4 linked regions of the Nothobranchius furzeri genome follow. The protein of the gene in region 3 interacts with the protein of the main gene of each other region in a pairwise test. Links are inferred from orthologs where the notes say so. Each region holds a gene or a part of one and is shown on either strand. Other genes may lie near its edges.

Region 1 (4,860 bases), on a different chromosome or scaffold from region 3:
CTCATGTTTATTTGAACTTCGTCTTAAAAGAAAACTAAAATGATCTCAGAACTGAATGTGATATGTAGCTTTAGCCTCTTGTCCCGTAGAGCCCCATGCAACTCCAGTAGAGCGCTGCTCAGCATTAGCGTCATAAAGATGTCTGTCACAGAGGGTGCATGTGCAGAAGTATCTAGACAGATGCAAAGATGGCAAAATTTCTCATGGACACATTTTTAAAAACACGAGTAAACAGCATAATGTGGATTATTCATAGTAACAGAATTTGTTTTAACTCTGTTACAGGTTCTCGTTCACAAACCAGAGGCATTGCTTCCAGCTGTGATCATGGAAGTGGAGAGAGGGCTTTATGCTGCAATATATTTTTCTGCCTCTAGATTTGACAACAAACTCCAGATTTTTGCTTTGAATACATACCAATTTATTTATCCGTAAAAGCATTTTGCAATGAGCTAATCTAGAAGTGAGTGAGAGCAGATGGTGGAAGTAAGAACAAAGGCAGGGGTGTCATTAACCCTTTAGTTTATTACAGGATGTAAAATAAGTCAAAACAGTTTCTAGCTTTCTCAAAATCTTCTGACCCACAAGGAAGTCCCAACTAACTCAACATGACACACGAAACCTAAACTAACCTCTGATCACACTTACGCCTCAAGCATCATGTCTGATGGGACTGCCAAAAGGCCAGTAATCCCTAACACGCACACACACACACACACACACACACACACACACACACGGAACATTATCTGAGGCCGAGTTTCTTCTTCTCTTTCTGTTTCTTGCGAACCACTTCAATATTTCGGTCCTTCCACATGCTCTTCCTCAGCTTGATGGGGCGACTCCCAACATACTTCCCTGGAGAAAAACAAAAACCCACTCAGATTGAACACGTCCCCAGGACTCCTGGGATTAGTGTGGTGTCACCTGACTCACCGTTCATCTCTCTCATGGCTCTGACGTAGTCGTTTGGATCTTTGAAACTGACAAAGCCGTAGCCTTTGGTCTTTCCGGTCCGTTTGTCTCGAACCACCTAGAAATGATCATTTCATGAATCCATGGAATCACATTTGTTTACCCACAAACAGGATTAAACCCTTTATCTCTTTTCTAACTTGCCTTTGTTGCAATAAAGCTCTCCAATTCTAATTTTCAGGTCACTTTCTGTAACTGGAAAGGAGAGCTGCACACCCATCCTACTGAAGCTTCTTTGATGGATCCATTCCTGTTTACGTTCTCTGCTCTTTTAAGGTCTGAACTTTTATGTGCTCTACTCGTTCACTTCGTATAGATTTATTAAACAATGATTATCCAAACCGACCAGTCCTGTGAGAAACACTAACCAACCCCGAAACCTACAGAGCCAGGCTTACCTTTGCTTTGAGGAAAGACGGGTATCTGCTGAAGGTTCTGGCTAGAATGTCATCGTTGACCTCATTACCAAGATCCCCACAAAATATACGAAAATCATCTGAAACAGTTCAAACACATGAATCACCAAAGTTCTCAGACAGCTTTAAAAACAGGAGAAATAACACCAGCTTTTACAGAACCGTTCATTTGGGTCAGACACCCTGGAGCTCCTACTCAAAAAACGTATACCAAGGGGTCGTGTGTGTGTGTGTGTGCGCGCTTGTTATCGGCCCATTTCTCTGAGGTGAGGGGGTTGAGGGTGACGCTGTCAGTCACTGCCTCAGCACCACTCTTGGTTTGCCAGGCGATTCCTACTTTAGGTGCATTTTTCAAACAGGAAGCGTGGGTGGAGTAGGGGGTGACTTGCTCTTTAATCATTCTCATTCTATTGACTCCAGCTTTCCATAGAGTTCAGTTCCTGCCAGCAGGGATTACCTGACTCCCACTCCAGCAGACTGGCATCCTCCCAGCTGGACCCTGCTGCTGTACGGATGCACTTCTTCACCTTTTCGTTCTTGCCTTTCTTCTTGTCCTCTGTAGAACTTTCCACAGGCTGGAACAGATAAACAATAAAAAAAAAATAAAAATAAAAACACACACACAAACTTTGTGAATTCATATTCTCACATTTTTACAGTTCTGATGGCCTGTTGTGAAATTTTCACATTAGAAATAATCACTAGAGATGTAATGTAATGACCATTGCCACTGGAGCTAACTAAAGGGCTGGCTCTACTCCACCCAGGTGTGGTATAAAGTGTTGACATCTGGGTAGCCTGGATTTTTTTTTTTACGTGCTCAACCGGTTGTTTACTTCGGCCCAATTCCCAAGGCGGTCTGCTTCAGGCTGAACTGGTCCAACACACCCACTGCCGACTGATTGGCCGGCTCAAATTCACGGCTACCATTGGGGGAGCTGATTGGCGGGTAGAATCTGCCAGCGGGGGCTTCAATTCATTATCACTCCCGATTCTGAGGAGTGAACATAGACTCTGACTAAAGCTGTTTCTCTGTCTCTGTCTGCTGTGAGGAGCATGCGCTCGCGCTGGGCCTGAATCTGAAGGCGGAAACAGACTCAAGAGTTTTGTTTTAGTGAATAATACATCTCGTCACCACTGATAGATGTTTTCATCACACAATTCAGATAACAATATGTTATAATCACCTCAATGTGAGGGGGCTCCGGCTCAGGCCTGTTTGGACCAATCACAGAGTTGCTCTCATCACTCTCCTTCTTGTCAAGTAGGCCTGCCGCCAATACTGCAGCCTGCTGCTTAGCAACCCGTGCTGCCAGTTCTTCCTGATGGACACACACACACACACACACTCACAGTCACTTCCCATGTGGCAGTGTTTAGTTATTTTAGATGCAATACTTCAGATAAACATGTTTAGATGTTGATCAGAGTGCAGACACCATTCTGGCTTGTCTCTGGGCCTGAGGATCAACTCTCTTATGTCCAACCGTCACAGGTGGAGCAGAGTACACCGTTGGTGCTGCCTGGATGATGGATGGCGTTGGTTTGAGGGAGGGCGGGCCCACCGATCTTGGAGGGCCTGGCATCATCGGGACAATGTCACCAACCTGAGAACAACACCAGAACAACTAAATAAATGATGCATACTCCGCAACCAAGTGCTGATGGATATCGTCTCTTTACCTGAGGAGAGGCTGCAATGTGCTGAATGGGCTGTGGGGGACCGTGAGGTATCGGGCCTGGCAGGGAAGGAGGAACCATCATGGGGGGAGGGGGAGGAGGCCGTGGTAGGGGAGGTGCTACTGGAGGACTGCGCATCATCGGTATCCTCTGACCACCTATCAACACAGAGCTACCATAAACACCCCATCTCAACAGGAGGAGGAACAAACCACCAGGAGTCCAGATGTTTCAGAGTTCCACAGGAACTTCTGCTAAATGTCACATTTTATCTCTTAACATTCAACCCTGAAGACCAAACAACTGAAAACATGAACATCACAGCATAAAATAAGCTGTTTTTATGTTAGATTTAAATCTGGTAGCTCTGTTGTCCATCATCAGATTATTTTACGTAATTCAGCTTAACCAAAGACCAGCCAGTCCAAAAGTCGGTCGTTCTTTGTAGCTCAGTTGTCCCCACAGCTGATCAAAAACCAAACACCTGTTATCCTGATCTGTGATTAGCCCAGAGAAAAGACTCCAGCAATTCAAATTTCTGTCTGATGTTTAAAACACGGTCGTGTCAGAGGCTGCTTCCTCCTACCATCATGACTAATGACCCAGTGGGAACATCTGTCGCTCCACTGGTCATTATCTTCATGTTGAAGATATTTAGGTGAGTAAAGAGAAAATGGATTTACTGGGTCTCTGCAGGATGTGTGGAACAAAGGCTGGTCTCATGATGGGAGGTGGAGGTGAACGAATGGAGGGAACTGGTGAGCAGAAAGAGAACATCACATCAGAACGCCATCACGAACAACTTTAGCTTGTTATTGTAAAACAGAAGCATGTTTGACTCACGTTTTAAAGAGCATCAAAAATAACTCTATCCAGTTACGATGCATTTAAAACACTGACAAACCGTGATGCAATATTTTTCTTTAGCATTTAGAGAAGGCAATCTTACAGCATGGATTTTATTACCTGGTCCCACAAACGTTGGTGGGGGGCCAACAAAGCTAGTCGCTCTAGCCTCTAGAGTCTGCTGGACCTGAGAAGGTAGAACGGGGTCAAAAGCATTCTGAGCTTTTTCTCAATCAATAAATTGACCATTTTTTCTCTGTAAGTTTATTAATCACCGGTAGAGAAAAAGGATTGATTCACAACACAAACCTGTCTGTAGGTGTTTGTCCCAATAATCGGTCGCACCAGAGAAATGACTGGGACAGCCAGAGCTACGGCTCCTGGGTCCATGACAGGCGGACTTCCGGATATCGGCACTGGACCACCAAGAACCTCCTGCTCAAAACTACAGAGGAAATTACATTTGAAAGAGAACATTTTTTTCTATCACAGTAGTGGGTAGGGCTGCACAATGTATCGCAAATTTATCGTTATCGTGATATCAGCATGCGCAATATGCATATCGCAAAGAACAGATAAATATCACAATGAATGGTCAACTCAAAAGTTTGCTACACATAATGCATTCTGTCAATCAAACAGAAGCATGATGTTTTTTTAACAAGTCAACTTGAGCTCTTCACCCATTTGGCCAATTGGGTGGGTTCTCAGGTTAGATGCCCGCCCCCGAGGCAGACGGGACTTAATTTTAATGGTTAGCAAACACCTGAGTTAGCTTTGTTCTGCTCTTTCAGCTGATTCTGCTTTTCCCAGGATCCACTGATTGCCACGAGTAGCTTTGGAGCTTCCAAAATGGCTCTTTAGCTTCCGAACCCATTTTATTAGGGTCAACTGGGGTGGGGGGCTTTTTGGGTTGTCAAGTTTGTCAGCCCCTGTACCAGAC
Region 2 (6,071 bases), on a different chromosome or scaffold from region 3:
CCAGAACCTCTCGACACAAGAACAGTTTCTTCCCTTCTGCAGTTGGTCTCAAGAACGACAATCCTAGGGCTGCCCACTCCAGTCGCTTGGTTTCAGTCACATGACCCTGTGTTGTTTGTACCTGAACTGATCCGCTCTGATCAGTACCTACACTGTCTTGTATATAGTAGCCGTTTCTCTAATTATTGCCAGTTTATATTATTATTTTATCAAGATTATATTCTTACCTCCTATATTTACTTATCTCTTATTTTTATTGTTCTTTTTGCACCAAGTACCGCAGCAATTTCCTAATGTTTTGATTTCTCGCACATACGGCAATAAAACCCTTCTGATTCTGAAGCCCGAAGGAGTTCTGCCATGTGGTGATGTAGCTAATGCTAATGGTTAGCTTCTACTAGCTAACATGTTCTCTGCTGTTTCCTGGAAGCTAAACCAACAACAGACTTGTTGCTGGCCTAGCAAGGCGCCTTGACATTGAGAAGCACCCTGCATGAAAAACTCGAGAGTGACGGATTATAATCAGAAATAAGATATATATATATATATATATATATATATATATATATATATATATATATATATAAACAATGTCTGTAAGGGTTAAAGAAACGTTCCAACAGAATAAATGAGTGAAGATCAAAGATGGATGATTCATTTCTATGAGTTTGGCGTGGATGATGAGAACACACCTCTCACCTTTCCTTTCAGTGATGAGCGTCTGCCGCCGGGCCTTCATGTCCAGGCTCAGGTTCTCCACCATACGGTTGATGCAGTTGTCCAGGGCCAGACACCGGGTCTGGGACTCGATAGCCTGTCTACAGATGGGACACTCGTTTTTCTTCTTGCGCCACAACTTGATGCAGTAACAGCAGAAGCTGTGAGCACAGTTCAGGATGACCGCCTGTACAGGGACATTTTTTTTTAATTTCAGCAGGTGAAGTCGGGTTTTTGTGAGTAAGATGATCCCAAACAGGTTCCTGGCTCTACCTCGATGAAGAGCTCTGAGCAGATGATGCACTGGAGCTCGTTCTCCAGAACCTCTGTGACTTGTGTTACTACCTCCTCCTTTTGGGCTTTCGCCTTTTCTTTTTCCTCCTGGAGGAAAAAAAATATGAATCAAAGTGACAACCAAGGTAAAAATGTGTGTTTTAAAAAGTGTCTTTCAGGCACCTTTGTTTCTTCTAGTTCTTTGTTTTTCGCAGAGAGGATTTCTTCAAATGTTTTTCGAGAGTCGGCAAGCTCGTCGATCACTTTCTTTTGCTGTTTGTTGAAAAAACAGGCACAAAAAAACTTTTTATTACATTTAATCAAAAACTTAAAGAAATAAACTAAAAAACTGTTAGTTTAAATTAAATGTGTTAACAGCTTTTAATTAGTTTAATTGAACCTTCTTACTTCCTGAAGAGCCTCTTCAAGTTGTTTTTTCATTAGCTCCTCTTGCTGCTGTGTTTTCTGCTCCTAAACGCATAAAAGACAGACGATTCACTTAAATTGAAACTTTATTTTTATGGACATATATATTTTTCTAATTGTAAATGCAGATGAACCTTTTGATTCACATATGTCAGAACAAGAAGGGTGAGGAACGTGTTACTTTCCATATGTGGCGCTTTTGTTTGAAACCCCAAAAAAGATGCTCAATATTAATATGCTCTGGAATATTAATATCGATATGGAATATGATGCAGAAATGTAGCTCTTTAACAGGTTTTGTTATGTTTAAGATCTTTTTTTTGCAACGTTACCAAGATTATTTAAAGTATGGCTGAATCATTTTGAAATGTGGAGAATTAAAAGTTAAACTAACGCTGTAAAATAAAGCAATTGCGGGTTGGGGGAATGAAAATGTAACGATGTTTCAAAAAGAAAAAAAAACAACACTCCTGACCTCCAACTGTCTCCTTGTTTTACTGAAGGTTCTCTCTAAAGTCTTCATTTGACACATTTTGGCTCTAAGGGTTTCCAGTTGACCCTGCAGCTCACGGACCTGCTCCCGTCGGAGAGGATCTGCCCGCCTGGGTTCTCCTCCAAGAGATGATACCTGCTTCTGGGTGTCATCCACCTGCTCCCGTAACAGCAGGAGATTCTGGCTGTACCTGCAGGTTATACATTAATATTTACAACTTTTACACAACAGAACATCAGAATGGACAACTCCTAAAGAGTATTATTTTCATTAAAAGTAGAGAGGAGTCTGTTTGAATATGTGACACATAATTCAGCAAATGTATTAAATAAAAGCTTGTAAAGGAGCAGTGTCTTTGGTTTGATTGAGAACCTTTTTTACGAGGAGTCACACTTTACCTCTGCAGGTTGTCCACTTCACAAGGATCACTGGATCCATCAGAGTGCTGCTCTTGTTTTTGTGTGCTGGATGCCGTCTCCTCCAGGTGTGTGTTACTGAGCCGCTGCTGGCATTTCACCGCAGACAGAGGACAGGGTTTTGCAAAAGATTTCCCTTCTGAATCGCAGCGGTACAGCTTAGGCTTTGATGTAGAAGGCTCGACTTCCTCCACAGTCAACTTCCTTTTGGATTTTTTGGAGACTTGCGGCTCTTTAGCCCAAGTTCTACATGCCTTTGCCAGGTACGGCTGAATGTTTCTGAGCAGTCGCCGGATGAGGATGTAATCAAATTCTACTTTGGTTCCTGATAAAGGAACTCCAAGTCGGATCGAGTCTCCAAGTTTGAGCAGGTAAGGTTCATCGGCAGAAATCCGATTTCCGTTCACCCAGACACCATTGAGACTCTGTGGAAGATAATTAATAATAATAATAATAATAATAACTTATTTACTAAGATTTAACTTGGTATTAGCTGCTGCTGTTAATAATAGCCCCATCATCTGTTAGAGATCAATTTTAGGAGAGTTAGCTCAAGAAATAAGGCTACCTTTTTGTCTACCACTGTCCAGTGACCGTCTTCTATCTGTCTGAAGGCACAGTGCAGTCTGGAGATCATGAGAGGACTACTTGAAGACAGCAGCTGGTAGGTGACATCCAAACCACGTCCAACAGTGATCTGAGCAGTCAAAAACAAACGTCAATTTACAGTTTTTCCATATAAACAGGGTCCACTACGCCGTTAGAAAAAACTTAATGAATAAAATGGCATGCCTATTGTATGTATACATAGCACAATCCTGAAAATGATTTTTTTTAGTTAAGCTAACATTAGCAAACTGTACCTCTGCCTTTTCGAACAAACGAAGCCAGTCTGATTTTTTTCCGACTCTCATCAGACACAAGACCTCCGAGTCCGAACATTCACCGTCCTCAGCCGAACATGAATCCGCCGTTGCACTATCCATGTTAAGCCATTCTGTCACAGGCCAAACACTCCGCTGTTGTTGTGTCTTATATGTATATGTCGATGTGTGTCTTCCGTCACATAACTGCTACATGCTAACGCGGTAGCGATCCGGGAGACACCGGAAAACGGTACAATTCATTTCGAAATAAAAGCGACGGGAAACTGCTAAAATAAATATCAATGTTTTATTTATTATTTCTTGTATAACGGCACGTATCACGTGTTGTAAATCTTTTGAACAAGGCAAAATAAATAAAAAAGTATGAATAGAATAGGTTTCTGGGATACGTTACTCTTTATTTATTGACATTTTTAAACATGAAAGTAACGTTAAAAAGTAAATGCTAGTATTTTGGATGATAAATATTTTAATATATTAAATATATTTTTGCTTTATGAAGTTTAAATTTTTTTTAAAGCAATGAATTTTTTTTATCGAAAATTCAAATTAGAGCACTTTGTTGTTGTGATTTGTTCTCAGTCAGGCAACCCAGCACCCTAAAACGAGTGCACCTAACCCCGGGGCGGGACTTCCTGTCTGCACCGGAAGTCCCAGTGTTGAACAGGCAGAAAGGGCTTGGTCCGTGTGTCACCGGTCTTATCCGCGTATGTCTGGACGGGAGATAACCAGGCTGCCGAAGCTGCGTAAATAAATCTCCACCTCGGCTATGCTGCCCTGAGAGCGCCGCGAGTATCCGCCCCGCCAAAATGTCTGATGTCAACAAGACTATTCAGAAATGGCACGCCAGTTTCAAGAAAGGCACAGACTTTGACTCGTGGGGACAATTGGTAGAGGCTATAGACGAGTACCAAATGTGAGTTACATTCAACATGTGTGTCTTATTTTTGTACGATTGAGTGTAAACATCTGGAACAGCGAGGACGGCTTGTTTAGCTTTTTATTTTTTTGCTGTCTTAAAGCTTGTCAGCTCTTAAACCTGCAGAAGTTAGCCTCGGAGCTGTCAGTCAGCCCCCACAGCAGTAAATAAACCCTTCCCATCCATGACGTGATGTGGCATTGTTGCAGAGGCAGCGGAGTCCCATCCCATCTTCATTCACAGAGGGGAGAAGAACAAAAAGAAACACCCAAAGCTGAATGTCTTGTTTCTGAGCGTTAGGAGAAGAGAATAACCAATATTCCTTAGAGTGTTGGGAAACAGTCAGCCACACCCTCTCATTGTTATGGGTGGGTTTCGTGTGTTCAGTGAGGAAAGCTCTCTTGTTCTCTGAGGAGATCAGACTCCGCAAGTTATTTCAGGATGTGATCATGTTTATGTAATAATTCATTTTAATGACACGTTTTAGATTTCTTTAGTGCAGATAGATGACTTGACAGTGTCCCACGTTGACCAAAAGGGGGCGCAGAACAGCCCACTGATGTGACAAATCGTCTTGGAATTGATTGATTAACCCATCTAACTGTTCTCGTTAATCCAGATTAGCAAGGCAGCTGCAGAAAGAGGTCCAAAATTCAAATTCATCAGATTTCACAGAAGAGCAGAAGGTAATAATTGCATCAGTCTGCAGGCTAAACTCGCCTGCTTTGCTTCAAATCACAGCATCTTGTTTCTTTCTGGACATTCAGAAAACCTTAGGAAAGATTGCAACATGCCTGGAGATGAGAAGTGCCAGTTTGCAGGTTTGTGTTCTTACTTATTTCTCTTTTTGTATGATAGTGGACAACCAGACTTAGATGTGTTTTGTTGTTACTGTGAACTTTTGTTGTTATTGTGCACTTTTCTGGCTTTAGCGTCATTATTTTCAATATTTGTATGGCAGTTTGTCAGTTTTGCATCATGTTTTGTTCTCCTTTTGCAGCAGTTTGTGGTAATTTTATTTCCTGTCTGAGTTTTTGTGTTTGAGGTTTGTAGATTTATGGATTTTTTTTTCATCTTCATTGCTTTGTGATACAATTCTAGTTGTTTTTTCACACTTTCCCGTTTATGTTGCAGTATTTGATATATTTATTTTAATATAAAGACCCTTTCCAACTAAAAAAATAAAAAAAAGCACAAAGGGTGATTAAAATCCTTCAAAACTTAATTTCTGAGCATGTGGCGATCATATTCATGTATTTATTACCAAAGTAAGACATGAACGTAAATCTTTCTCTTGAGTTCTGATCTTTTCCTGTCTGTGTGTCTCCTCAGTGCACACAATCACAAGAAGAGTTCAAGTTAGAAGACCTGAAGAAACTGGAAACCAGTAGGTTTACAGCTACTCATTTTGCAGGAGTTGTCGTTAACGTTCTAACCATCCTGTTTCTTCCAGTAATAAAGAACATCCTCAGCCATAACAAAGAGTTTCCCTTCGACGTCCAGCCAGTGCCATTAAGGTAACATTTATCTTAAAGCTTCAGAGTTAAAAAAAAGGGTTAAATATTTACAGGGGAGTGTGTTGCTATGGATACAGAGGGAAAAAAAGAGAGCATATTTATTGATATAAAGGAAACGGAAAAAACAGCTTTTCCAATGATTTCAGTCGGGTGATGCGACAGGTCTTTTCTCTCCATCAGGAAAATCCTGGCTCCAGGTGAGGAGGAGGACCTGGATCTGGAGGAGGAGGAGGATGCACCTGCAGGAGCCGGTTCTACCGAAGCGTTCCCACCTAGAGCTCCCGGTACTCTCGCTGCTCGATCTCGTGTGTTGTGTCTCAAAACGTCCGTTTGACCGTGCATGTTTCTGTTCTCTCTGTCGGCGCTGTGCTGCATGGCTTCTTCGTTCATCTCTGCCTGCTTCCTCTGCAGCTTCTCAAGGTA
Region 3 (4,504 bases):
TGGACAGTCTGTGGTGTTTCGATTCAGCTCTGACTTTTTTCCAGTTTGAACATAAAAACACACTCCTAGACGGCGTTTTGTTTGTTTGGTGATGATGAAGGAAGCGCCGACCATTCAGCGATCTGGTCACCGGGCCGTCCCTGGTCTGCTGTAGCACATCCTCTCCAGACTGTTCAGCACTTTAAATAAATAAAGTGGTGACGGTGGAAGTGTTGGTCTGTGATCAGAAGTAGCGCTGATGCTGAAAGCTTCTGGGTGGAGCAGCGTGAGACGCTCTTAAAGCCTGGAGGAGAACTTGCTCTCTTCCTGAATTAACCGGCCCTCGTGGGATAATAAGTGAAGCGTATCGTCTGCTGCATGCAGACGCACCCAATAACAGCTCCTCATCCTCCTCTTCCTCTCACCAGCAGATCCTACCACTATTAAACCCCCACCCCTGCAGGCCTCTTCCAGTGTGTTTCTGTTGGGCTTTGCTGGTTTCTATTCACATCAGGCTCAGATGCAGTGTGTGTGTGTGTGTGTGTGTGTGTGTGGGGGGGGGGGGGGGGGGGGGTGTTCATTTTTAAGGTCTCGACTAACTCTGGGTCATGCATGGAGGTGATTTTAGTGTCTGTGTGGGGGTGTGTGTTTCTGTGTGACTTTGTTTTCCACCTTCCTCTCTGTGTTTGTTGTAATCACACATAAACACAAGTAATCAGATTACTAAATGTGTCGAACATCCTGTGGAGTCAGGCTGTCGGCGGTTTCCCTCCACAATTCCAGTTTTCTGTCTCATCAACATGTCCTCAGCTGCGTGAGCGTTTCATCTTCCCCTGTTTTTACCTCCCTCTCTCCCTAGTACTCACACAGTTTCCCTTCTCTCTCTCTCTCTCTCTCTCTCTCTCTCTCTCTCTCGCCCTCTCTCTCTCTCTCTCATGTACAAAATGTCTAGCCCCACATCCAACGCCACATTTCCACATTCAGCACATCCTATCTATTGTAAATGTGGGGAAACGTTTGTGTTTGTAGTCCTAAATAATCTAGTTGTGTGCTTATTTTAAGAATGATTACATTTCTTCCTCGGAGTCATGCCAGTTAGCGCGTGTGTGTGTGTGTGTGTGTGTGTGTGCACGTGTGTGTGTGTTTCCAGGGAGGCTACCCTGCTGCTGCTGCCGCCGCCGCCGCTGCCGCCTACCGCTACGCTCAGCCTGCAGCGGTAACCGGAGCAACCGCCGCAGCAGCCGCCTACAGTGACAGGTGAGGCCAGCGCAGGACACACACACACACACACACACACACACACACACACACACCACCAGAACATAACCCAGATCCTTCTGTGATAAATAAAAATAACTCACTAAACCTTGTTTAGTTACTGTGAGCATTCAGATGTTTTTTAGCCCAAGAAATCTAGACAAACTTTAGCTAAAGGCTTAGCTCTGCAGAGCGGTCTGCCATTGGCTTGGCTAAGTGTAGGCGGGGCCAATTACAGCGCTCTTTTTATAGATACATTAGACGGGCTTAGCAGCAGAGCTGCAAAAAGCTAACTTTTCCATGCACAACACCTTTAGCTACCTGCAGCTCGGGCACTGCAGGACACAACCCACTGTAATGTAGTTTGTTAGCAGCTTCTGTTCATTAGCGTATCTTCTGCAGTCGGCTGGCTCCGCGTTTTTGTCTGAGTTCGCGTCACCAAGCTGGCGACATTTGAGCTCTCCAGAGGAGACACGTAAGCGCAGCGTTAGCGCTGCGTTACAGCTGCATCAGAGCTGCTTTAGCTCTGCGTTAGAGCTGCTTTAGCGCTGCGTTAGCGCTGCGTTAGAGCTGCTTTAGCTCTGCATTAGCGCTGCGTTAGAGCTGCTTTAGCTCTGCGTTAGAGCTGCGTTAGCGCTGCGTTAGAGCTGCTTTAGCTCTGCATTAGCGCTGCGTTAGAGCTGCTTTAGCTCTGCATTAGCGCTGCGTTAGAGCTGCTTTAGCTCTGCGTTAGAGCTGCGTTAGCGCTGCGTTAGAGCTGCTTTAGCTCTGCATTAGCGCTGCGTTAGAGCTGCTTTAGCTCTGCGTTAGAGCTGCGTAAGCGCTGCGTTAGAGCTGCTTTAGCTCTGCGTTAGAGCTGCGTAAGCGCTGCGTTAGAGCTGCTTTAGCGCTGCGTTAGAGCTGCGTTAGCGCTGCGTTAGAGCTGCTTTAGCTCTGCATTAGCGCTGCGTTAGAGCTGCTTTAGCTCTGCGTTAGAGCTGCGTTAGCGCTGCGTTAGAGCTGCTTTAGCTCTGCATTAGCGCTGCGTTAGAGCTGCTTTAGCTCTGCATTAGCGCTGCGTTAGAGCTGCTTTAGCTCTGCGTTAGAGCTGCATTAGCGCTGCGTTAGAGCTGCTTTAGCTCTGCATTAGCGCTGCGTTAGAGCTGCTTTAGCTCTGCGTTAGAGCTGCGTAAGCGCTGCGTTAGAGCTGCTTTAGCTCTGCGTTAGAGCTGCGTAAGCGCTGCGTTAGAGCTGCGTAAGCGCTGCGTTAGAGCTGCATTAGCGCTGCGTTAGAGCTACTTTAGCTCTGCGTTAGAGCTGCGTTAGCACTGCTTTAGCTCTGCGTTAGAGCTGCGTTAGAGCTGCTTTAGCTCTGCGTTAGAGCTGCTTTAGCTCTGCGTTAGAGCTGCTTTTGCTCTGCGTTAGAGCTGCTTTAGCTCTGCGTTAGAGCTGCTTTAGCTCTGCGTTAGAGCTGCGTTAGCGCTTCTTTAGCTCTGCGTTAGAGCTGCGTTACCTCTGCGTTAGCCTGCTTGCTGCGTCTTGGTGTCCGAGTCCTCGCCTGCCGTAAGTTGTGACGTTAATGTTTTGTTTGGATATTAGAGGAACTTTATAAAGTTAAAACTAAGCCACTGTTATTAAATTTGAAAATCTCTCTCAGGATTAATTAAAAATGTTATGTTTGCTGTTTTAAAAGGTTAAATCCGAATTATTATTTTTTTGTCTCCTGATCCGATCCTTTTAGAATCTTGTTATTGGGCCCGACTTCCGATCACATGATCGGATCGGAGCTTTGCTGCAGATGTTTTTGTGCAGTTTAATCTTCCTCAGACCGCCGGCAGCTACTTGTGAGGGAGTCTCGAAGCCAACAGAGCTAAAACACGTACAATTATTATTCTCACATTACTCCGTTTATGCAGGTTTGTATATTTGAAAGAGCACACACACACTCACACACAAAGACCCTACATAATTCCTGGAAGTGGGAAAACTCTGGATTGTGTCTTTAATTCTTACTGACTGGATGTTTCTGATTCTGAGAATGAGAAGCAAAGTGTTTTATACAAATGCTGGATTGAGTCTCTCCTGCTGAAGTGTGTTCAGAAGCAACATGAGTCCGACTTCATGCACTTAGACGCGTTTGAGACGGAGTCATGTGTGAAAGGTGGAAGTTTCAGCTCTTTGTTTCGCGTTTGCAGTTACGGTCGGGTGTACACCACAGATCCGTACCACGCTTTAGCTCCAGCTGCTGCCGCCTACGGAGTCGGCGCCATGGTGAGTTCCCGCAAACACAAAAGCTGTCGCATCAGGTCACAAAGTAAGAAGCTGTCTAGCGTTTGTTTCCTTGTGTTTTCCAGGCCAGTTTATACCGAGCGGGATACAGCCGCTTCGCTCCGTACTAAAACCACATCCAAGGAATTTCTCTGCTCCGAAACCCCGTCTCCAGCTCTGCGCTCGGCAGCAGCTCCCCTCCATTTTTCTGCAGACTCACGTGTTTTTGTTTTGTTTTGGGTTTTTGCCCGGCGTCCCTCCCTCTCTTTGTGGCGAGAAGCGTCCCTGCCACGTCTTCCCCTCGGCCCGTCCTCCTCCGTCTGTCGCTGACGTGGAATCGAAGGAAAGGATGTTTTTCCTTCACGCAAAAGTTGGATCCAGCTGCTTGGAACTGCAAAGGCAGGATTCTGGGATCCTTTTTAAAAACACTACGTGAGAGGGGCTGCAGTTCCTGTGTGACCCAACGCACTACAGTCCCTCCCTGTCATCCCCCGTTCCTCTAATCTGACACACACACACACACACACACACACAGTTAGCTCGTCCCTGCGGCGTTGGACTTGACGCACAGACAGCTCCCCCAGAGTACTACAGTACACTGGTACTTGTGTTTTTGAGCACTACGACGACACGGAGCTTCTACCCACTACCGTAATCGCATCTGTTTATAAATAAAGCTATAGTGAAAAATCTGCAGCTGAAGGAACGCTCCACACAGAAGATATAGGAATTATTGTTTCTTTTTCTGATGAAAATCCAACTGAAAGGACAAATGAAGCCACCGATGGACTCCATCCGCGTCCCGTCTGGTCGTTTTTAACCCAGACGTGGAGCGAAGCCGTGGGAAACCAGACGCGTCGCGCTCAGATGTGTGAAAGCCAGTTTTTGTTTTTCTGCATTACCTCAGCTTCTCTTTTCCTTTCTCTGCCTTTGAGAAGAAAAACCATCGTCACTTCTTCGTCCTGCAGCATGACTCGTGTGGAGCTCAGCGGCCTCCTCCTCCTCCACGATAATTACCGGA
Region 4 (6,064 bases), on a different chromosome or scaffold from region 3:
CTCTGCACTGCATTTGAATTTAAATCTGCCACCGCTGTTGGCTAAGAGGTATGCTATGATGTAAACTGGTACATTATGATGTCACAATGTCGTGAGTGTGTGTATTTGTTAGTGGCTCCACCCTCTCGGTCTGCAAGGCAACAGCATTTGTTGCATTTTTCAAACATGAAGTGGGAGTGAAGTACACTTCTTGTAAGGGGTGACTTGCTCTTTAAGGTAAGGACAAAGGGCCAAGGGGGGTTCTGTTTAATAATACATTACATAATATAGCTAAGCAGTTAATGCTTAATAACACATTAGGTAACATTAAAAAAGGAATCTTTATTGTAAAGTGTGACTAGAACTTTAAACACATAATAAAACAATGGAAATAATATTCAACTCAACAGTTGACCAGTATATGTATATTTTTTTATGATATATATATATATATATTTTTTCAATATCACAGTTTCATTGTGAACTCATCAGTTTTTTTTTTCAGTTTTGGTTGAAACAAAAAAAAATACATCAGCATCTGTTTAATTAAAAGTCTAGAAGAAATTTTTAAATTGGCCTAAATCTTGATCAAAAACAATGAACTCAGCATCTCCGAGCGTCTGCTCTTTGTCTGAATGCGTCTCCTTCCTGATAGGACAAAAAGGCCTGGAAGTCTCACTGTTAGTAAATATACTCCATGTCATTGTTTTCTTAGCTAAACTGAATAAAATTATAATTTCTTACTTAAGCCCTATTCATATCAGTTTATTCCAAACCTACAGAGGGTCCACTCCAAATTCCTTTATCCAAACAAGGTCTGGAAACTGGCCCTGGCTACAACATATCTTTGACATTCACCATGCAGGCGACCATATTTCACCTCAGCTCCATCGTCGGCTGAGTGCTGCACTACGTAAAGCATCCAGAACACCTGATAATAATTCTTATCAAAGCGACTCTTTAGATTAGGAGCGCGGGGGCCGAAACCTGCATACCTCGCCCTGCAACAAGCCCATGTTTGGTTGAGCGCCGGTCCGCGAAAGATAAACACTAAGCATCATCGAGCTTTGGAGGTTGAGCAATGAAGTAGGCATGAGGAGCCAAGCTTGCAACAGTGCTTTACTGGTGCGAATCAGTGATCCATTGACTTGAGAGTGTGTAGAAGTGGGGGTTGGGGGGGGGGGGGGGGGAGCATGTGAGAGTCACACCAGCAAGGCTGTTAAACTTTAGCTCTTATAAGGTTACAGTTTACAGTTGCTATGGTGTTGTTAAACTTACAGCGGTTAGGTATTTGGTGTATTTGATGGAGCGTAGGGAAGATTTTAAAAGGCTGAGACAGTCCAACTCCCCATCATAAACTCGTCCTGCTATTATACCAAGCACCGTGTGCGTCTGTGCAAAACCTACCTGAAGCATGTCCACAAGAGAGCCTGTCAAAAGCACAAACTCCCCCGAAAGCCTCACTGATCTCCCACTAACACCACATGCTGTTTCCACGAAGACAAAGTGCCGCGGTCTAACCTTATGTTAATTCATCCGAGGAAATGTAAGTGTCTACTGTCCTGGATGAGTTCCAAACATTTCTAAGACATTAGATTCCTCTGGCCATTACTCCCCCCTGTTTGTGCGCTGGCTACAGACGGCTCCCGTCTGGTCCTTCGGCTCGTGGACATGATAGAAATTCAAACGTGCGCCACGGGCGAGCTGAGAGGTTTAACTGCCCAACAACACAAGGCTGCAAACAAACCAATCGCTAAATAACTGACATTTGCTGATTAGTGTTTGATGTATTCCACCTATGAAAACGAGACCTTCCAGAATAAAATCCAAGGTCAAACTGTTTCCAAAGTTTGACTGATTACAAAAATGTGAAATATTTATTACGCTGAATAAAAAGGAGGGCCAGTTTATATCTTTTTGCAGGTTTTTGGCTATTTTTACACTGATATGAATTCCAGTATTGATGGGAGATCTACAACAGCTGTATGTTAATGAACCCTCAGTGCTTGTTGATCTCAGTGACAGTGGAAGCAATAATGTGTGGAGAGTTGTGATTCAAGAATAAAGACACAAGTATCTCATTGTGATACAGCTCTTGAGGACCAAACTGCATTTAAAAGTTTCCAAAACCTCTCACCATATTTCCAAGGACTTCCTCGAGTGTTGTCGCTGAACTTGTGTTTTCAGATAAATTTCCTCACCGAAAACATTCCGAATCACTGTGGTCTTCAAAAAACTGTCCAGAACTTTTCTAAATTGAATTTCCGTGAGTCAGAAAGGAAGAAAAATGAGAGACAGCTTTTGAAATGGTTGATGATGAAATCAACATATCAAATGAGGGAAAACTGGCCAACAAAATGGGACACAGTTAGGACACTGTTACCAAATCATAACGAGAAAATTTGAATGGCTGTTGCAGTTTTTTTTTGCCTCATATTCCCTAAAAGACCCTCCTCATTAAGGTGGGACTAGTCCCTGTCAGCAGAGAGACACTGACTAAAGACGTGTGTAGACGATGCGTATTTATCGCAGAGGATACCCTTAAACCTTCTCAGCGGCCTAGTGGTATGAGTGTCCACCCTGGGACTGGGGGATCGGGGTTCACATCCCGGTTGGATTGGGAGATTAAACCATACAATAGTTCCAGAGCGCAGACACTGCTGCTGGGATGGGTCAAATGCAGAGATGCAATTACACCAGTGAGTGGTGACTAATGGGACTGGAACTTTAATGTAACATTTGACAATGAAATGTTGTAAGATGAAGATAGAGATCAAATGTACTATTTATGTCACATAGGACTGAAATTTTTGATTTTTGCTTTCAGAATTGAGGTTTACTCCATTTGTATAGCACTTCCTCTTGGTCAGATCAAACAAAACACCCACAGATGTTGTTTTCTTTTAGTTTATGAACTTCTAAAATGGTAATTTTGATTGCATAGACCCACAGTGCATCCATAGAAACCTCGGCCACGAACCAAATATGGTATTAAGTCAGTCCGTTTGGCGATTCAGTTACATTGCACCGACACTAATCAGATTACTCCAAAAGAGAAATATCTGATACACCTCCTCTACGTCTCCATCTCTCCTCTGAGGAGATGTGGAGCTCAGAAAAGGGCCAAAGCAAATAAACCCCAAACACAGACATCCACAACAAGAGATATCACTGAACCAGATTGTGCAATGTTTACAGAAACTGGGCCATTCTCTTATCCATTTAGGAGGGGAGAGAGAGAAACACAATTATATCACGTGTTTTCAGACAAACAGCATCAATCTGGTGTGTTTAGATTAAATTAAGCCCCGGTTATGAAAGGAGATATTCTCCTCTGTGAGCCTGGGATACTTAAGAGCTCTTGCCAACATGTTGCAGCGGCAGATGTTTGAACTTCAGCGGCTTGGCTGAAAACTCTACCTCGGATCACAAACGCTCTGACTTTTGTCTGGCTTTACTGGTGCAGGAACTTCAAAGATGTTCACAACAAAAAGTTGATAGCGGGAAACCTGGTGAGCTGTGGTGGAGGAAACTTAGATAGAAGCTGAATAAGTTTGGTTTCTTCTCGTTTTTCTCTTGAAAACAGATATTTTAGGAATTCGGCGGCTAAAATAGTCACACGAACCCCCCTGACGCCCCTTGTAGCGCGGCGGAGGCAGCAGGTAGGATACATACCTCCTCTTCGTGGTTGGTGAATTCACTCGGCTCGTTCTCTTTCTCGATTTTGTTGTTATTCATTCTGAGTCTTTGACACTTTCACTTCTTCTCTGGTCTCTGCTCTTCTCCAAAACCCACGAATGATGACAAAAGCAGCTCCCCGAGACAGTCAGAGGGAGTCCGGCTGTCCTTCTCTCACCGCACTCTACCAGTACGCATCAATAACGGCTGATCTTCTTCTGGTTCTTCTTCTTCTTTGTTGGTATCAAAAGCGGTAAAAACAGGAGTCAGCTGTGAGCGGTGTTCCTCTCCTGTCGGGTATTCCTCAGCATTCCCTGGAAAGCTTTACCGGAGGCGCTTGTTGTTGCTGTTCCCCCTCCTGAAACGGAGTTAATGCTCCTTGTACGTGCGCCGGAGGCGAACTTCTCCTCCTCTCTTCATCTCCGAGTCCGTAACGTCCGCGCGCGCGCCGCGGAGGGAGGGGTCTGGGTGGGATGCAGCGTTTACCCTCCACCGGAAAATCTGCATCCATCATCTAGAAAACCAGCTCAGATGTTATTTTAGTCCCTGAAACATTCCTGCAACGTTTTCCTCACGCGCTGCTTCGTGTTGTCACGCTGTAAGAACACATTTGTTTATTAAATACGCAAAAAATGTGATTTTGTGGTTTTATGCGTTTAAATACCTAAAAGACCCGGTCATTTCAAATGACTTTTGCTTAAACTTTTACTGTTTGTTTTTAATTATTTTTATTCAACCATTTAGTTTTATTTTTGTTTAACTGATCTTTTTCATATTTTTACTATACTTTATTCTTTTTTTTTTGTCTTGATTCTTGGGTGATTTTCCTTGTGAATTACTCTGTGACATTTTTCTGTGGTTGCTATAAATAACCTTTCGCTCACTCACTCACTCACTCACTCACTCACTCGCGTTATAACTAATTATTTTTTATGGTTCAATATTTTTATGACACACAAAGGTTAAAGTCTAATTCAGTAGGTAGAGTGGGTTATCCAGTATTCAGAGGGTTGCAGGTTCGATCCCAGCTCCCACCAGAGAATGCTGCTGTTGTGTCCTTGGGCAAGACACTTAACCCACCTTGCCTGCTGCTGGTGATCGGAGGGACTGGTGATGCCTGTGTACAGCAGCCTCGCCCCTGTCAGTGCACCCCAGGGCAGCTGTGGCTACATTGTAGCTCATCCCCACCAGTGTGGGGACATATCTCTCACATCTGACGAATACACGCTCGACTATCTCCTCAACTGCACACCTTTCACAAAGTCCATCTAAAGCAAACTCAAAGCTGGTGTGTGTGTGTGTTTTCTATAGGTCAGGATGGCCTTAACCAACACCTCCAGGCTCATCTCATTGATTGACTCCTTTATCTACCTGCAAGGTGAATGGTTACATGATGTGTTCAATAAGAACATGGGAACTTATTTGTGTGGTTTTAGTTTAAGCAGATTATCTGTTGTTGTGACTGAGATACTTTTACATACTTTATCTTGCAAATGTAAATGTGAGACGAGTCTTTGTGATCTTTTTGTTTAGTGGGGGTTCTGGCCTTGAAGTTATTCCATGGTGCCATTTATGTAGTTTCTTTCTTATTGCAGAGTCATGCCGTGCTTTAGATGTTGTTCTAGGTTATTTTGTTCTGGAACTCCTTTAGAACGGGACGCGATGTGTTGCTTTTTGAGATTTTAGCCTTCTTCGTGTAGCAAACAGGTTCTGCTCAAGTGATTTCTGTGTGTTGCTAGGGGTTGTATAAATCACAGTTTATTCATGATTTAACGAGCAGGGGAACTAATTTTCCACAATGGGACAGATTGTTTTGGACCCTTTTTTCTGTCAGTGATGAAAAAAATGTAATTACTCAGACTTTCCTTGTCTGAAAATTAAATGTATTTGCAGATTCAAAAAGTTTCAATGTTAAAATAAGCAAAGAACAGAAACAAGGACAGTTAAAGAGCAAGTCATCCCCAAATCAAATTTATTTTTTTTTTTGCTGATAAACTATATTGTCCAACCATGCTATAGACACGTGTAGTCAATACTTTGGCACTTTAGTGAATCTTAGTTCAAATTTAAATATTCTGCTTAAAACTGTCAGTGTTGTGCCCTCTTCAGGTAAAAACTCTGCACTGCATTTGAATTTAAAACTGCCATCGCTATTGGCTAAGAAGGTACCCTATGACTTTAGCTGGTACATTATGATGTCACAATGTCATTGTGAGCCTGAGTGTGTGCATTTGTTAGCGGCTCCGCCATCCTGGTCTGCCAGGCGACAGCGTCTGTTGAATTTTTCAAATCAGAAGTGGGAGTGGAGTAAGACTCTGGTAGGGGGTGACTTGCTCTTTAACTCATTCGCTGCCAGCCGTTTCCTGATCGCTAACGGCCTTCGCTGCCAGTGTTTCTCGCCGTTTTT

What was found.
Region 1: the proteins of RNA binding protein fox-1 homolog 2 (region 3) and rbm42 interact in a two-hybrid assay, tested with the Homo sapiens proteins (2 studies listed by BioGRID and IntAct). The link is inferred for Nothobranchius furzeri from reciprocal best matches to the Homo sapiens genes RBFOX2 and RBM42.
Region 2: the proteins of RNA binding protein fox-1 homolog 2 (region 3) and rnf8 interact in binary tests that used the Homo sapiens proteins (3 or more experiments, as listed by UniProt). The two-hybrid records come from large-scale screens. The link is inferred for Nothobranchius furzeri from reciprocal best matches to the Homo sapiens genes RBFOX2 and RNF8.
Region 4: the proteins of RNA binding protein fox-1 homolog 2 (region 3) and RNA-binding protein with multiple splicing interact in binary tests that used the Homo sapiens proteins (3 or more experiments, as listed by UniProt). The link is inferred for Nothobranchius furzeri from reciprocal best matches to the Homo sapiens genes RBFOX2 and RBPMS.

The regions. Positions count from the first base shown.
Region 1 is NC_091745.1:58,662,699-58,667,558, reverse strand, and holds the end of rbm42 (RNA-binding protein 42), read right to left. Parts: intron 4,363-4,860; coding exon 4,227-4,362; intron 4,105-4,226; coding exon 4,038-4,104; intron 3,827-4,037; coding exon 3,755-3,826; intron 3,230-3,754; coding exon 3,075-3,229; intron 3,046-3,074; exon of another isoform or gene 2,999-3,045; coding exon 2,831-2,998; intron 2,714-2,830; coding exon 2,579-2,713; intron 2,019-2,578; exon of another isoform or gene 1,967-2,018; coding exon 1,849-1,966; exon of another isoform or gene 1,812-1,848; intron 1,472-1,811; coding exon 1,374-1,471; intron 1,252-1,373; exon of another isoform or gene 1,157-1,251; intron 1,034-1,156; coding exon 937-1,033; intron 859-936; coding exon 746-858; 3' UTR 506-745; downstream 1-505. UniProt on the Homo sapiens protein: Binds (via the RRM domain) to the 3'-untranslated region (UTR) of CDKN1A mRNA.
Region 2 is NC_091742.1:8,357,281-8,363,351, reverse strand, and holds the start of rnf8 (E3 ubiquitin-protein ligase rnf8), read right to left. Parts: upstream 3,443-6,071; 5' UTR 3,312-3,442; coding exon 3,189-3,311; intron 3,023-3,188; coding exon 2,894-3,022; intron 2,751-2,893; coding exon 2,308-2,750; intron 2,100-2,307; coding exon 1,892-2,099; intron 1,462-1,891; coding exon 1,399-1,461; intron 1,264-1,398; coding exon 1,174-1,263; intron 1,099-1,173; coding exon 991-1,098; intron 905-990; coding exon 700-904; coding exon of another isoform or gene 693-699; intron 1-692. Other genes in the region: aida (axin interactor, dorsalization-associated protein), read left to right, coding at 4,022-4,128, 4,751-4,817, 4,899-4,952, 5,464-5,518, 5,585-5,648, 5,829-5,932, 6,060-6,068. UniProt on the Homo sapiens protein: E3 ubiquitin-protein ligase that plays a key role in DNA damage signaling via 2 distinct roles: by mediating the 'Lys-63'-linked ubiquitination of histones H2A and H2AX and promoting the recruitment of DNA repair proteins at double-strand breaks (DSBs) sites, and by catalyzing 'Lys-48'-linked ubiquitination to remove target proteins from DNA damage sites.
Region 3 is NC_091752.1:66,482,445-66,486,948, reverse strand, and holds part of RNA binding protein fox-1 homolog 2, read left to right. Parts: intron 1-1,129; coding exon 1,130-1,236; intron 1,237-3,410; coding exon 3,411-3,486; intron 3,487-3,569; coding exon 3,570-3,614; 3' UTR 3,615-4,504. UniProt on the Homo sapiens protein: RNA-binding protein that regulates alternative splicing events by binding to 5'-UGCAUGU-3' elements. Prevents binding of U2AF2 to the 3'-splice site.
Region 4 is NC_091742.1:66,798,441-66,804,504, reverse strand, and holds the start of RNA-binding protein with multiple splicing, read right to left. Parts: upstream 4,175-6,064; 5' UTR 3,718-4,174; coding exon 3,655-3,717; intron 3,644-3,654; exon of another isoform or gene 2,117-3,643; intron 1-2,116.